Linked DNA regions of Arabidopsis thaliana. The protein of the gene in region 3 interacts with the protein of the main gene of each other region in a biochemical or structural test. Each region holds a gene or a part of one and is shown on either strand. Other genes may lie near its edges.

What was found. Proteins that work in one complex are often made in the same cells at the same time.
Region 1: the proteins of ABI3 (region 3) and PIL5 form a complex in vitro, tested with the Arabidopsis thaliana proteins (one study listed by BioGRID).
Region 2: the proteins of ABI3 (region 3) and AIP3 form a complex in vitro, tested with the Arabidopsis thaliana proteins (one study listed by BioGRID).

The regions. Positions count from the first base shown.
Region 1 is NC_003071.7:8,703,389-8,708,814, forward strand, and holds PIL5 (phytochrome interacting factor 3-like 5), read right to left. Parts: upstream 3,617-5,426; 5' UTR 3,397-3,616; exon of another isoform or gene 3,161-3,396; 5' UTR 3,151-3,160; coding exon 3,053-3,150; intron 2,965-3,052; coding exon 2,259-2,964; intron 2,127-2,258; coding exon 2,049-2,126; intron 1,960-2,048; coding exon 1,894-1,959; intron 1,812-1,893; coding exon 1,746-1,811; coding exon of another isoform or gene 1,731-1,745; intron 1,640-1,730; coding exon 1,301-1,639; intron 1,221-1,300; coding exon 1,137-1,220; 3' UTR 1,052-1,136; intron 972-1,051; coding exon of another isoform or gene 888-971; 3' UTR 636-887; downstream 1-635. Other genes in the region: AT2G20170 (NEP-interacting protein, putative (DUF239)), read left to right, coding at 1-7. UniProt on the Arabidopsis thaliana protein: Transcription activator. Negatively regulates chlorophyll biosynthesis and seed germination in the dark, and lightinduced degradation of PIF1 relieves this negative regulation to promote photomorphogenesis.
Region 2 is NC_003070.9:2,809,143-2,813,160, forward strand, and holds AIP3 (ABI3-interacting protein 3), read right to left. Parts: upstream 2,172-4,018; 5' UTR 1,985-2,171; coding exon 1,973-1,984; intron 1,885-1,972; coding exon 1,768-1,884; intron 1,044-1,767; coding exon 783-1,043; 3' UTR 636-782; downstream 1-635. Other genes in the region: PRA1.E (prenylated RAB acceptor 1.E), read left to right, coding at 1-420; AT1G08790 (1-phosphatidylinositol-4,5-bisphosphate phosphodiesterase epsilon-1, putative (DUF1685)), read left to right, coding at 2,847-3,336, 3,422-3,504.
Region 3 is NC_003074.8:8,995,620-9,001,685, reverse strand, and holds ABI3 (AP2/B3-like transcriptional factor family protein), read right to left. Parts: upstream 4,317-6,066; 5' UTR 3,776-4,316; coding exon 2,096-3,775; intron 1,896-2,095; coding exon 1,803-1,895; intron 1,658-1,802; coding exon 1,557-1,657; intron 1,424-1,556; coding exon 1,377-1,423; intron 1,260-1,376; coding exon 1,183-1,259; intron 1,071-1,182; coding exon 906-1,070; 3' UTR 501-905; downstream 1-500. UniProt on the Arabidopsis thaliana protein: Participates in abscisic acid-regulated gene expression during seed development. Regulates the transcription of SGR1 and SGR2 that are involved in leaf and embryo degreening.

The DNA of each region.
Region 1 (5,426 bases), on a different chromosome or scaffold from region 3:
TACTTAACAAATCTTTAAGGTCATTTACGTATAAGTATACCTTCTATTTTGATGTGTTAAGGAAATATATAGTAAAATAACTTTGACAAAAATAAGGAAATAGTAATACTAATATATAAGTTTTCAAATACTATAAATGTTAAACTTCTTTTTACATCTTCTTTATTAAGCAAATACAAAATTGATTTAACGGTTTGATACATATATATGCATGTTTGTCAAGTCTTATGGTCATGGAGATAGCAAGTCTTAACGGTTTGAGAAATTTGTTTGCCTTTTCTTTTAGCTTTATATTTTCGATATTATGGTCATGGACTGGAGATACCATATTAGTTGACATCACTACGTTTTTAGATGAAGAGATCCTATGAAAGACACTACAAAATGGGCAATGCTTGGCCAATTACATCATTAATTTTCTTGCTTTTGTTTGCTGGCTTTTGTCCGTCTATTTACATATTTTGTGTCACATTGTGAGCTTAGTTGCAAGGACTAAGATTTGTTTGTGCATTTGTATCGATAAGTCTTTGGGACTTGGGAGTGGAACATTTGTAAATATTCACTGTTAAGCTTAATCAAGAATTGCTTTCGTCAAAAGTAATAATAATAGACGAGAAAAGAATAATGATCGGGTATGTATATGAACCTAACTTTCTCATATTTATTCTTTGCACTAAGCCTCTGCAACCTCTATGTATTGATTCCTAGATCTCTGGATCATTACATGTACAGCTCTCTAAGTATACAACCTGAGAAGAGAGGACAAAACAAACCAAAGAAAAACAAGAAACAGATGGCGATATATATACATGTTAGGTCTCTCTGTCAATTTCTCAAAATTGTGTTTGCTTGTGAAAACAGATCTTCTTGTTGCTCCATGGACATTATTAACCTGTTGTGTGGTTTCCGTGATCCTCAGATTCCTTACTACTACTCACCCTGCTCGAACTTGGATACGATGTTGCTTGATTCTAAAATAAGAAAGATAAGAACTTGTGACTTGTAAGCAGAGGAACTAGCCATTTTTGGGAAAAAGATGACTGTTTAGTACCTGAAACTGAGGTGGTTGGGTCGGGTCGGATAAGAAATTGTGTTTGCTTGTGAAAACAGATCTTCTTGTTGCTCCATGGACATTATTAACCTGTTGTGTGGTTTCCGTGATCCTCAGATTCCTTACTACTACTCACCCTGCTCGAACTTGGGTACGATGTTGCTTGATTCTAAAATAAGAAAGATAAGAACTTGTGACTTGTAAGCAGAGGAACTAGTCATTTTTGGGAAAGAGATGACTGTTTAGTACCTGAAACTGAGGTGGTTGGGTCGGGTGGAGACCGCGGAACTGCTGATATGGATCCGTGTAACCAGCTGGATACTGAGGCTGGCCCGAGGTTGGATCATACTGCTGGTTCGGTACAAAGACTCTTGACGGGTCAGAAGCATGAACAGGGTATTGCGGTCCTGACCCGGCCATGTGAGTTTGTGTAGGCAAAGGTCTTTGAGCGGCTAACATGTTGGGGAATGGCATGAAGGAAGGAGGAGGAATAGGCTGGTTCATACCCATACCCATCGCCATATGAGGCATGTACTGTTGCATGCCCGGATACATCATTGGCATCATTCCACATCCCATTGACATCATCTGCATTAATCTCAGTCATATAAACTGGAGTTTTCATGGTAAAGTGTACATTTTCAAGAACTTAAAAAGGGCTTTCAAGACTTAGAATCCTTTAAAGAAAATGAACCTGTATTTGAAGCTGAAGAGATTTCATGTACTCAATAGCTTCATCTAGCATCGAAGCTTTATCTGACTGAGGATCAAAGAAACAACAATCAGTAACAAGGTTAACGTATACAATAACTTGAAGAGAAAGAAAAAAGATCGTCGAAGACCTTGTTGCAGCGAGGTATAAGTTCTTGCAAAGCTTTCATTCTCTCATTGATCCTATCTCTCCGTTTCTGTTACCAAATCCGCGACATTCTTCAGATTCATTGCGAAATCTTTATCGAAAAAGATTACAAAAACATAAGAAAAAACACAAACGTACTCTTTCAGAGAGATTATGAACTTCAGCAGCACGAGATCTCTTGGTAGATGTTGTTGATACACGTGCTTGTTTTGTTTCCTGCACCACAAGAAAACACCAAAAAAGTTAATTAAAAATGCGCTGAAAACTACAAAGTCAGACTAAAATGCGCCGTATTTGACTTGCGCACGATAGCTAACAACGACTCTGTTCTGTGTTTTTTTGACTCACCTCGCTACGGGATTCAGTTTCATCAGTAGTGGTGGCTTCTCTCTCTTTTCGTTTCCTATCATCGACGTTCGTCTTCTCCGGTTCGATTTCGCTCTTTGACACTACAGATGACGATGTACCGGTTATCTCGATCGCCGGCGCCGTCATAGCCACTGCTTTTCCCTTCCGATTATACGCGCCGCCTCCAGCTACGGCGGAACTGTCAGTACCATCCGTCCGCCGTGTTAAACCGGATTCACTCGCCGCCGCCGACGGTGTTGCGCTAGGACTTACCTGCGTAGATTCTCTCACAACCGCCTTCGAAAGCAACGGTCCAGATTCACCACCTCTACCGTTATTAAAATCCCCTCTCAGCCTCGAGAAATTCATGAAGTTCCTCACCGGCGGCCTCGACTCATTCGTCGAAGATACTGGCGGTCTCGCGGCGGTGACTTGACTCACCGTCGCGGTAGCCGTCGCAGTAGGTGCGGCGGAGAAGAGAAGATCTGAGCAGAAATCATCGTCACGGAGAGGATAATGAAGCCAAGAAGTCATTTCATCTTCTTGAATAAAAAGATTCTGATCTGAAGAAGGTTGCTGCTGAGGATCCATAGAAGGAAGAAGCTTCGGTGGAGAAGAAGAAGGTTTCTTGGTGTGAAGTCTCTGGTTTTGAACAACAACTTGACCGTTCTGCCATAAAAGCTCCATAAGATCATCATCTTCACCCCTAAAGTTTTCAATACTATAAATACTCAGATCTTGAACTAATCAAACTTTTTTTTTTTTTTAATATAAGTTTGAATAAAAGAACTTACATAGTAGTAATGGATTTTCTAGGAAGATGATTCAAAGAAGAATTATGGTTGTTGACATAATCATCATCGGTATCGAAGTCAGGGACAAAATGATGCATATCTCTCTCTCTACAAAGATGATGATAATGGTAAGTATTAAAATAACAAACAGTTATCTTCTTCTTCTGGTTTTATAACCAAAAGAAAAACCCCAGAAAGATCCAAAAGAGTAGCACTAGTGAGTAAGTGTACTACACACAGAGATTACTAATCAGTGAAGAAACATATATACTACCCAGACTATATCTAACCTAGAGAATTGAGGTTGGTACTGGATAGGCTTCTCAAAAAAAAAAATATATCACCTTTATTTCTGGGGAACTAGTATTGGATGACTGGATCTTTTTTTTTTTTTTTTTGTGCTAAAGGATGACTGAATCTTATTCTGAATTTTCGTGCTTTAAGAATGTGATAAGCTTCTTAAGGGTTTTTGTCTTTTTCTTATATGTCTCTCTTTGGAGTTTGTTTTTGCCTCTTCCGTGACTCTAGCATGTATCGCATTTACTATTGTGTCAACTAACTTTAACAGTGAATTCTCTATTTTATTTATGTGTGTATGTGTCTGAATAGAAACTTGTGCCCATTTTTTAACCTCTGAATAAAAAACCAAGTTGAACATAAAAACAAAATGTCTGAGATCATTTGTAGCTGACGGAGATAAAATAATCAGCCTCATTGTTTCTCATCCGTACTATAAATTGTTTTCATGGCATTATCATCAAAAAAAAATTATTTTATAAACTTTATCCAATGATCCGGTTAATTTTGGTAAAAATATATTTAAGTATTACAAAATAAATTTATATTCAAGGATCATCACACATTTATTCCGAGTTTAGAATATTAACTGATTAACACTTAAACATAACTGAATCGCATGTTACCAGATTACCATTTAACTTGTCTGGACCAAACCTAGACATCCTACATGAATATAATTTTCTTTTGATAGAAGATCGAATACCGGATGAAATGGTATTTTAGCAATAAGACTTGAAAATGTGGTATTTTGAGAAATGTCTCAAAAAAATATGACTGACACGAAAATAATATTTTGTTTTAAGGGAGCCTCGAATTCTAGAGGAGTATTGTAGCAAAATATCACACTTTCAAGTTGTGTTGTCAAAATACCACCAAAAGTTTTGTTTTCCAAAAATATTATACTTCAATTTTGATTTTCAAGAGTTCATCAGAATTAAAAAAATTAAGTTTGAATTGACCATTTTAATTTTAAGATATTGTTTTTAGGGGTTAGGGTTTAGTGTTTAAAGTTTAGAGTTTAATTTTGAATGTTGGAAGTTAAATTTAAGTTTTATGTTATTTTAAGAAACCAAACATTAAGTGGTATTTTTAAAGAAATAAACAAAAACTTAAGTATCATATTTAAAAATTGTCCTTTTTTATATCGCTAAATTATAGATTTAAGACTACATATATCTTGCAGGAAATATTCCTTTAGTCTTGTGGTTAAATCCATTTGATTCCGCTTTTTCCACCAGAGTTTGACTCCACTAAATCGTGTTATCTTGCATAATAGATATTGGCTATAGAATAGACCATGTCAATCCAAAGATGTTAAAAACAAAAGACTACAACATATGCAAACATGATATTAAAGACTTAAGTGAGTCTCCTCTTCTATAAACAGAAAAGTCGAATGCTACATAAAGTGTTAATTTATAATCATTTATAGTAGTCAAGTTAGTGAACAAAGTGTTAATTTCTTCTATAATACTTCTTTTGTTTCTATTTTGTTCTAGTTTAAGATTTTGGTACATTGATTAAGATCATTTAGTTTCTGTTTTCTTAAATTTTAAAAATATGTTTAATTACATATTTTAAAATAATTTAACCAATAAAAAGTTGCAGAATTTCAAGAATCAAAAATAATAAAATAATAATAAATTTTGCATTGAAAACAACAAATAAAATGAAACAACTTATTTTTTTTTATAATCATTTTACCTTTTGATAAAGAGCATTTATCATTGATATGGGAACACGCACATATATATATATATATACACATTAATATGTATATACATATTTTTATATAATTCCAAGTAGGGAAGAAAGAAACAGAGAATCAGATATGGACTCACATTGGTGGGGACAATATTAAGACAGAAATTGGGTGTTTTTTTTATTGATAATCTCAATGATTTATGAGACAGGGTAATATGTTTATTTTTGTTGCTAAACCACCCTCTTGCATGATCTATCAAACTTAATTATTTATTCTTTTATTCAGATTTAGACATAATCTATAAACATCAATTTTTTCAAGCTAAATTTTGTTGCTAAATCACCCTCTTGCTGTTGTACATTTTTTTTG
Region 2 (4,018 bases), on a different chromosome or scaffold from region 3:
CATCTAAAGCACAACATCTCTTATTTCCGTGGAAATTACGCTCTCGCCGTTCTCGCCATTGTTTTCCTCGGCCTTATTTACCATCCGATGTCTATGATCGCTTTCATCGTCGTCTTCATCGGATGGATTCTTCTCTATTTCTCTCGAGACGCAAACGATTCGATTGTGATTTCGGGGAAAGAAGTAGATGACAAGATCGTGCTGGTTTTACTCAGCTTGGTAACGGTTTTGGCATTGGTATATACAGATGTGGGCGAAAACGTTCTGGTTTCGCTGATCATTGGTTTGCTCATCGTCGGAGCTCACGGCGCTTTTCGTAATACCGATGATTTGTTTCTTGATGAAGAAAGTGCTCGCCGTGGTGGCCTGGTGTCTGCCGGTTCTGGTAACCGGCCACCGTCGAGTTATACCCCAATTTGAGTAAACCGGTTTGGAGAATTACTCGTAATTTCTTGGGTTTTTGATTGAAGAAGCTAAGGGAATCAATTTAGGGCTTTGTATTTTGGATTTCCCAAAGATTCTTGTATTTATATTTTGGCGTGTGTGTTTCATTTTGTTTGAATGTATACAAATTCTGGGAAAAAACAAATTGGTGTTATGGTATTTTATAGAATTGCCAAAAACATAATTTCCGATAGAAAAAGAAAAGTATGCATTAACCAGATGAAATTTCATAATGAACAAAACCAGTATGTTAAATTCAAGAATCCTTTGGTCTACACTCACAGTAGAATCATAAACTGATGCAATAGAAGAAAAACAAAGTTGGGAATAACTACTAACTAGTCTTCTTCAAGATTGATAGAATCTTTGAACTTAGCATACAATACCTTCTTCAGCGCTGCCATTTGTGTTACAATTGATTCCTTCTCTTGCTCGAGTTTCTCAAGGCTTTTGCAGGTCGCTTCTTTCATCTCTTCTATCTTTGTTTCTACGTCGTCCCTCGGCACATGAGCAAACACTTCTCCTATTTGAAAACGCACCATCTCCTCATCAGCAAGGATCAACTCGTTCCCTGCATCCTCTAGATTTTCACACTTTTCCTGCATAAATCAATTGTTTTTTAATCAAGCTAGATGCAGAAACACACAGTAGAATGCTGTTTTAATCCCCCTAATGAAACGATTGAACAAGACAAGTATCCACTTATTATTGCAAAGTCCCACATCTCCCTTTTTGTTTCCTACACATGCTGAACTATCAACACCATTACAATATCTAATTACAGTGATCTGATATACCCTAGCAGGCTTATATTCACCAACGAAGGAGAAAGTTAAGGGAGCAGTGATATGTAAGAGTGCACGGATGGTATAAGCAGGTTACAGTAGATTGGTACAACCTAAAGAGAATGTAAAATGAGATATGAGAGTATAGAGATTCTCTTGTGGGGTTATCTGAATGAAGTAAAATTACAATTTACAACAATCAATAAAATCAGGAATTATCTCAAATAATCTTAATCATGATCCTACACTAGACCAACAACACTTATCATATACTCTCAGGATCATTGTAATTAGCTTTTGTATCGGGTTGTAGCAGTGCTGATTTCATTTCATCAACAAGGAGTTAATCAGTTAGCTGAGAGCAAACCGATGTGTAGTAGATTCATTATTTGGTGAATTCATTACGGGATTGGATCTAATCACAGTATTCCACCACCTAAACGATGCAACATAGCGAATTGAATCCATGAATAAAACCTAATCTTAAAACCCTAGAATCGTGTAGAAGAAAAAATCAAGGATACATAAAAGAGAGAACCTTGGCGGATTTGATATCGTCATCGAGGTCATGGACTCTGTTGTTGAGACGGCTGAAGATATTAATGTTCTGCTGGTCCTCCCATGTCACCTCCATCTCAGATCCACTCTTACTCCCCTGCAACATCATCATCAACCATCCATTAGCATCAATTGAAGAAGATGCTAACAAAATAAATTACTCCTATTCGAGATGATTTTCTTACTTGCTGCTGCATTTTCGTCGCACTCTGGGGATTCAGGCCAAATTTCAATAGAACGTTGCTGTGTGAGAGAGAGTTGTGAGTTTCTTTCCCGACCGATTTTTATTAGAGGCTAGGCCCAACCGAGTTATTCTGGTACTTCCCGGTATAATGGTTTTGATACCAAATTATGATTGATTTTTGGTCTTTTCGGTCGAGTTTGTCCCACTTGGCTTGGAATTGGTTATTTTGCTTATTTCGTTATTGATTCGTAAATTTTGTAACATACTAACATGTTTAATTAACTAAATGATACTTGTACTAGTTTAGTGGTTATACCATCTTGTTAGTTGCAAGTGTTAGTAATATGTTTCGACCAACAACAACACCAAAAATTTCTAGAACAAAACCTATATCAAGTAAGAGTTAGTTATTCCAACAAAAACCACCAAGGTTTGTTTTTGGATTCTGTCTCCATAATCAATCAAGCTCCAGAATCTCCCCAGGGAATTAACAGAGAGATCCCTTTAAAAATGGCAAATGGAAATTCTACAAACCCTACTTTTAAACAACACCAAATGTGTGGTAGAAGAAACTCATTGTTTCTGTGTTTTGTAATATCACACCATTAAAGTTCACCAGAAAACATATCTCCTTCTGTACATTAATAAAATAAACCAAACAGAAAAAACTTCTTACCCCTTTTCTTCTTCCGGGATGAACATTTTTTAAAGGGAATCAGAGTTCTGGGATTTTCACTAATCTATTCAAGTTCTTCTGTTTTTCCTCGCTTACATGAGCTAACTTGTACAACAAGGCACATCATCACAAAAATATTCTGCCCCTTGTTGATAATCATAAACGTGCCTGCGATTTCTTATATTAACAACAGAGAAAGATGGTGAGGGTTGGAGAAGCATTGAGTGTATCAACCTCATCGTCGTCATCTTTCTACGACAGCGAAGTAGAAGAGCTTCAAAAGATGCCATTGGAACCACCGAAAGCTAAGGCTAAGAAACGTCTCTCGAAGCAACTCTCCATGTTAGAGACCCGTAGAGACATCGCATGGGAGCGTCGCCGTCGCCAGATGCTCCATCACCTTGAGAAGCATAACGAAGGAGGAGATGACTTGACGGACGAGGACTTGAGTGAGCTCAAAGGATCTATTGAGTTAGGGTTCGGGTTTAACGAGGAGCAAGGGCAACATCTTACAACTACATTGCCTGCATTGGACCTTTACTTCGCTGTGACTCGTCAGATCTCGCCGGTTTCTACACCAGGCAGTGGTGGATCTTCTTCATCCTCCCGTCCTACTTCCCTCGGAGACCGATCTTCCTCTTTTGGTAGTCCAATAAGCGACTCTGATTCTTTGAAGGTTATGTCTCCAGGTAACATAGCAACCTAAACTTTTTCGTCAGATTGATATTTTCATAATATGATTGTGTTTTGATGTTATATTCTATAAATTTGCAGGAGATGATCCTCAACAGGTTAAAACGAGACTGAGGCATTGGGCACAAGCTGTGGCATGTTCTGTGATACAATCTTCCAATTAAGCATAGAAGTGAGAGATGTACAAGAGTGGGACATGAATGATACTACACAAATTTGGTTGAGACAAAGGAAGTGTTGTAGAAATTAAGGAAGCTTAAGACAGATTAATTAAGGAGTTGGTTAAGACAGAGGAGGACGGATTATTGAAGTTCAAACTAAAAGAAGAAATAAGAATGATGCATGGTGGTCTTACATGTTATTATTCTTGAACCCTTTTTTTTTTCGCCAAAGACAGTTTTTAATTTTTTAGATATCACTACTTTAACAGTAAGAAAATATTTTAGATATTAGGTTTTGGCTTCTCTTCCTCTTTTAATTGTCTTTTGTAAGTTTGTATTATGCGTATCAACCTTCTTGTTATTTTCCAAATTCGAGGTCCTAACACCAACAAAGAAATATGAGTTTAACAAAGGACATTACGTATAAGTAGTTTATAACGAAGAAATGTACAACAAGTTTAACAAAGTTGCATGACTTTTGACATGCTAAACAAAAGTATCAACCAACCTAATAAAA
Region 3 (6,066 bases):
AAGAAAGAATAATGATGTATCACAAACAACACACTTATATGAGGAAAATTATAATCCTACCTCACTTGTTTTTTTCCTCCAAAGATTTTCGTTACTCAATAATACAAAGGGTTCAAGCTAACTAGATAAACAAGAAAATGATAGAATCAAAGTGGTAAGGAACAACTCTTCTTAAAATGTCCATATGTAAACATTCTATTTACAAATATTTACAATGTGAATATGTGAATGATATGGATAATTTTGTACATATGTCCATATGTACATTAATTATCATTTTGTACATTAATTATCATTAATTATCATTTTTACTATCATTAAATTGTCCATATGTCCATATTTACAAATAATTTTGTACATTGATAATGATAATTAATGTACAAAATTAATTATCTCAATTCCTTCTTAAATTGTCCATATGTCCATATTTACAAATAATTTTGTACATTAATTATCATTTTTATTATCATTATCAATGTTTGTGTAAAAATATTGTATCATTCAACTCTTCTTAAAACATTCACATTATAAACGATATGTAAGCTCGACTCAAGAAATGAGCCACATATGTAATATTAACCAATTACAACAACAAAAGAACTATATAATCATCTCTCCAGAAATATAACACAAACACCATTTCCAGAATTAATCATCTCTACAATATCCTGAAGGTAAAAAGAGTAAAGAGTTATAAAAGAACCGACTCGACAAGAAAAAGCAAAAAATGGAGTAAAAACCCGGACCCCGACCAAACAGCTTTAATCATGACCCTCCATTTGTCTTCAAGATCCCATGCATGCACGAGAAGTGGCACACTCGGGTACGCTGCCATTTTTTCCTTTTGCCCTCTTTCTTATTTGGTACATAATAATATTTATATTGTTTCTTTTTGTCTCTGTTTTTCATTTAACAGTTTGAGAAGTTGGTGAAGCGACCACCACATTCGCCGACGGAGAGTTATTGTTTATGTTCCTTTGCGACTTGTTTTGTCTCTTCGTAGCTGCTGACGACGGTGGGGCCTCCGGCTTTTGTCCGCTCGGTTGTCTTACTTTAACCCCTCGTATCAACTGTCATAATATTATTCTCAATTAATTATGACAAGATAAATACCAACAAAAGTAATGATGAGAGTTAAATACTAATGAAAAGTATAGAAAAATATTGTGATGCTTCTCTTACATATTTGCCACATTTGACGTCGGAGTATATGACTATGAAATCACCTTCTTGGAGCCCATTGGTTTTCACAAAATCGCCTGTAAACGTAATTTCAAGGAAAATTAGATATGTATGCGTCCACAACAATAATTACAAGAGAACAAACAAACCAAAAGAAAGGAAAATTATTAACGGGTACATTTTCAAAAACGTACCGGTGTTCTCGAGGAGATACATCCTGCTTTTGTTGTTAGGCCAAAACCTGCAAAACCAATTTAAGAAGACAATTAAATAACCGAAAAAACATTTTGGTCGAGTTCCAATTTTTGACAAAATACACGAATTGTTTTTATAAAAAGAATCAATGTTAACATGTTAGCATCATAATCAGTTACCTGTAGCGCATGTTCCAAACACGAGAGGTTCCGATGTCTTCCATGGCCAGAGAGATGCCGTCTCTTGCCTCTAGCTCCGGCAAGTGTGTCTCAGCTTCTTTCTAAAAAAAATAAAAATTCAGTAAAATATAACTTAACCAATAAGAGTAAAAATAAAATAAAAACTTGACAATATTTTTACACAAACATTGAACCTTTTTTAGAAAATGGAAAGCAAAGGCTACAAGAAATTAGAAGAAAAATTACTTTTGGCAAAACGATCCTTCCGAGGTTACCCACGTCGCTTTGCTTCAAGACTTTCTGCAAGAGAAACCGCAAATTCTTTTCTGGTTTCCATCCCTAAAATCAAACCAAAAAGATCAAAATCATTTCATTTCCATTGCAAATGTATAATCTTCCGATTCACATTTTATCAAAAAAAACACATGTAAAATCTTTAGCTTCTTCATCAAACCAAACGAGTGGTGCAATTACACAAACTATTCGAGTATTGCTAAATTAAAGAATAAACAATGAGAAAGATGATTGTGCATGTCTACCTGCCGGCGATCTGGTACCACCTGCTGACGTGGCATAGCAGAAGCTGAGCCAGCTCGGTCCATGGTAGGTAACTGAGTCTCCATCACTGGCGGTAATTGAGGCGGCACTGCCGGGACATTAGGCCAATACATCCAGGTCCCTCCCGTGGCGGTTGTGGCCACGGGGTTAAGTTGTGGAGCCACCGCGGCACAGGTTTCTCCGATTTGGGTTTGGTTCTGCTGATTATTGTTGTTGTTGTTGTTGTTGTTGTTATGTCTGTGGTGATGAGACAAGAACCTCCTCTGTCTCGCCATCCGTTTCTTTCTTGCCTCTTTAGTTGCTGAGGAACACAAACGGAGTAATCTCTGATCTCTCATTTGTCCTGCAGGAACATAAGGATATTGGTACGGATTCATGTTGTATCCATTGAAACCTGTTGGATCTCCAAATTGATTATACTGCGAGGTTGGCGGCATGGGGAATTGTTGATGTGGCATGGGACCAGACTGTGGTGGTGGTGGCCATGACGGTGGAGATTCAAGTAAAGGAAGGAACTCTGGCTGTGGCGGATAGTTTGGAGCAGGCATGTATCCAAAACCCGGGTCCGAGACAAAAGCTTGTTGTTGTGGTGGTGGAGGAACCCATGTTGAAGGTGAGAAACAGGTTTGGTCGGACGGTGGGATTAGGTTGTTGTTATTAGGGTTAGGGTTTTGAAATGGATCTTGTTGGAATGATTGTTGATAAGAGAGGTTGGTGGTGGTGGTGGTGGTGCGTCTTCTTTGTAAGTGATTAGTTTGGACCCATTCAAGAATCAGCTTTAAAAGCTGCTTCATCGCTTCTTTACCACCGCCTAGTCTTCTTGCCGCTGATTCAATCGTAGCTTTCTTTATCTTTACTTTCCTCAAATCCTCAGCCGACACAGTCTCCTTGTTGTTCTTTAGCCACTCCAAAAACACAGCAGCGAGATCATCGTCCTGTTCCAAGGAAGAATTCATCATTTGCATGTCTCCACCACTGTTATTCTCCATCATCGGAACAACGACCTGGTCTTCTTGTCTCTCAAGGGTTTGGTCCATCAAGTTAGGGTTTTGCGTGTCGTCGTCTTGGCTAAATATAGCTGAGGTGTCAAAGAACTCGTTGCTATCAAGTAGATCCATGTACCCGAAAGTCTCCATCATATCAATGCAATCACCACCGCCTTCGCCGCAACCAAAACCTTGACTGCTGTCTAATGGAATCTCCATGGAAGCTGTGGATTGCAATGCACCAGAAGAGTCGTCACAGTTTCCTGATGCGTATTGGTTTTGGTTTGGAGTCGGATCTTCTCCATCTGATCTCAATATAGCCCAAGAAGCAGCTGAGGAAGTGGAGGAAGAAGCTGCCGAAGAAGAAGAGGCTGAGGAGACGATTGCGTTGACAGGAGCTGGAGATGTTGAAGACGATGATGAAGACGACATGCATGGGAAATCAGGAAGCGTTGGGAGATCTCCATAGAAGATTGAAGGGTCATGATGAACAATCAAATCATCATCTTGATGACCATGAACATGATTATTATCTCCTCCATGGTCATCTAACCAGATCTCTCTACCAACTTCATCAATTCCATCCATCAAAACAGTATCATCAGCGTCTCCACCGAGTATTCCACAATCCTCAGCCAGATCTCCGGCGTTGGCCGCCACATGCAAGCTTTTCATCGTTGAAGTGGAAATGAAACAATAAACTAGATTGGTGGAGAGAGAAAAGTTAGGGTTTTTAGTATTTTGTACGGACAGATAGGGTTTGTATGTGAGTAAGGAGGCAAGGAAAAAGAAAGTTAACCCAACTTGGCTATCATCGAATCTTTAAACAACATAAACTATCTGGCTATACATATACATATAAACCTTCTATACTACTATATAATCTTTTGAGATTCAAAAAGAACTCTTGATAAGGTTAAAATTATACAAAAGAGACGAAGGAGGATCCAAAGCATATGAAAAGATCCGACCTAAGCTAACTATTTTCTCCAACTTCAGATGAACAAAGACCAATTGTAAAGAGGTCTAAAATTTTCGAGTCTAGATCTGAAGTATACGAGATGTGTTTTGTTCACAAAGATTGGTCTTTGGTTCTAATAGAACAGAGAGAGATGTTTAGGTTTTACTCTTTTAGAGAGGAAGAACTGATGAACAGCTAATAAGTAATCTAAAACCGTTTGGGTTTACTCCAACAAGAAGACTCTCTCTTTCTTTCATTTTATAAATTATGGAGAGATGGTATATATATATTTATAAAACTATATAATAAACATGGTTAAATCCCTCAAAAAAGAAAATAAATTAAAATAAGAGAGCCCATGTGTTCCAGTTTGTTCCATGATTTATATGGAAGTTTTTTTTTTACTAATATAATTCAATTGTATTGTATAAAATATGTTAGATTAAACTGAACTCTTTTTTTTTTCTGGCGGTAAGTGTAATTTTGGGTTTAAGTTATTCTCTTTCTCTTTGCAGCATTCAATTACCTCAGCAGAAGGAAAAGGAGAGAGACAAGAGTTTTTAAGAAAAAGAGATGTAACAGTTTTTCAGCATTTGATTTTTCAAAGAAGACAAAAAGCAAACGTTTAAATTTGTGGCACTATTGACAAAATTGTTGAGCTCATAATACTTACAAACATTTAAAATTTTATTTAGATAGTAAATCTCCCCTCATCTTCTAAGAAATAAAAACAAAGTTCCTCGAGAGAAAGACATTGGTTTTGAAATTAAATGGTGCAAAAAGCCATATTTAAGTCGATAAAAAAACTTAAAAACAAAGAGAAAATAGAAGTCTCCTCGTGCCGCTAGTATCTAAAGGTTGGTACAGGAGTTTGTGCCCACGAGCCATACGTTCGAATTTGAGTGGTGAGACCAAGCGGTGGTTCTTAAACACTTCTTTTGTATAAAATATTATAAATTTTCCAATTATCAACTTTCTACTTCCTATGTGCAAATGGTCACTTTTACAAAAGTAAGTTTCCTCGGTCGGTTTTAAATTATCTGGCCAAAAAGATTCGAAAAACTTACACTTTCCTATTGAAGTGGAAGAGGCAGACACGGATTTTATTACCCTAGAACAATTACTTTAACATATTGTAGAACAATGTATGTTTTTGTGAGTTTTTTTTCTTCTTCTTTCTTTTCTTTTTTCTGCATGAGGAAAACAAAACAAAACTTTTAGTGTATTTGTAAAATATTTAGTTACAAACAGGGTTCGACCTTGCCTTCAAAATGAGATTGAGCAGATCATGTGATACCTGTTGTAGAAAGAAATAGGTACTTGTATTTATTACATTTTAACACATCAAAATTTTAGTGTATTTTTTTTTCTTGGGAAAATTCCTATTTTCCCGATTACATTTTAACACATCAAAATAGGTACTGTGTTTTATAAATCTGAACAAACAATTAGTAATGTTCATACTTTAACATTTAAAAAATTCAAATTATCTACCTCAACTCTTACTTTTGTACATAATTATGAGTCAACGTTAGTTATGGTAATTAACAGTAACGGTTGTTGAATCAGCTAACACTTGTACGTCGAGATGGCATGTTCTTCAAACCAAATGACGTTGTTTTACGTTTTGAGATTCAAAAGTTTTAAAGGTTACCATTACCATCATGCACGAACATCATCAATATATAAATAATAATTTATAGATATATACACATACATAAATTGGAATTAAAATTAATCATATAACGTCGGTTAGGATTTCCCCAATTCTAAATGACATTGTTTGATTAATTTAATTCCAATTTGTTGCTATATATCTATAAATTATTATTTATGTCTCGATAATGTTTGTGGATACGATGGTGATGAATATGTGAGGTTGGGGGTTCCAGTTTTTCGGTTTAGTTTTTTAAAAGTAAATATTTTTAATCCCAAAACATAAAACAAAATTATTTTATTAAAAAACATGCCACCTAAACGTACACGTATCAATTGAGTCAACAAC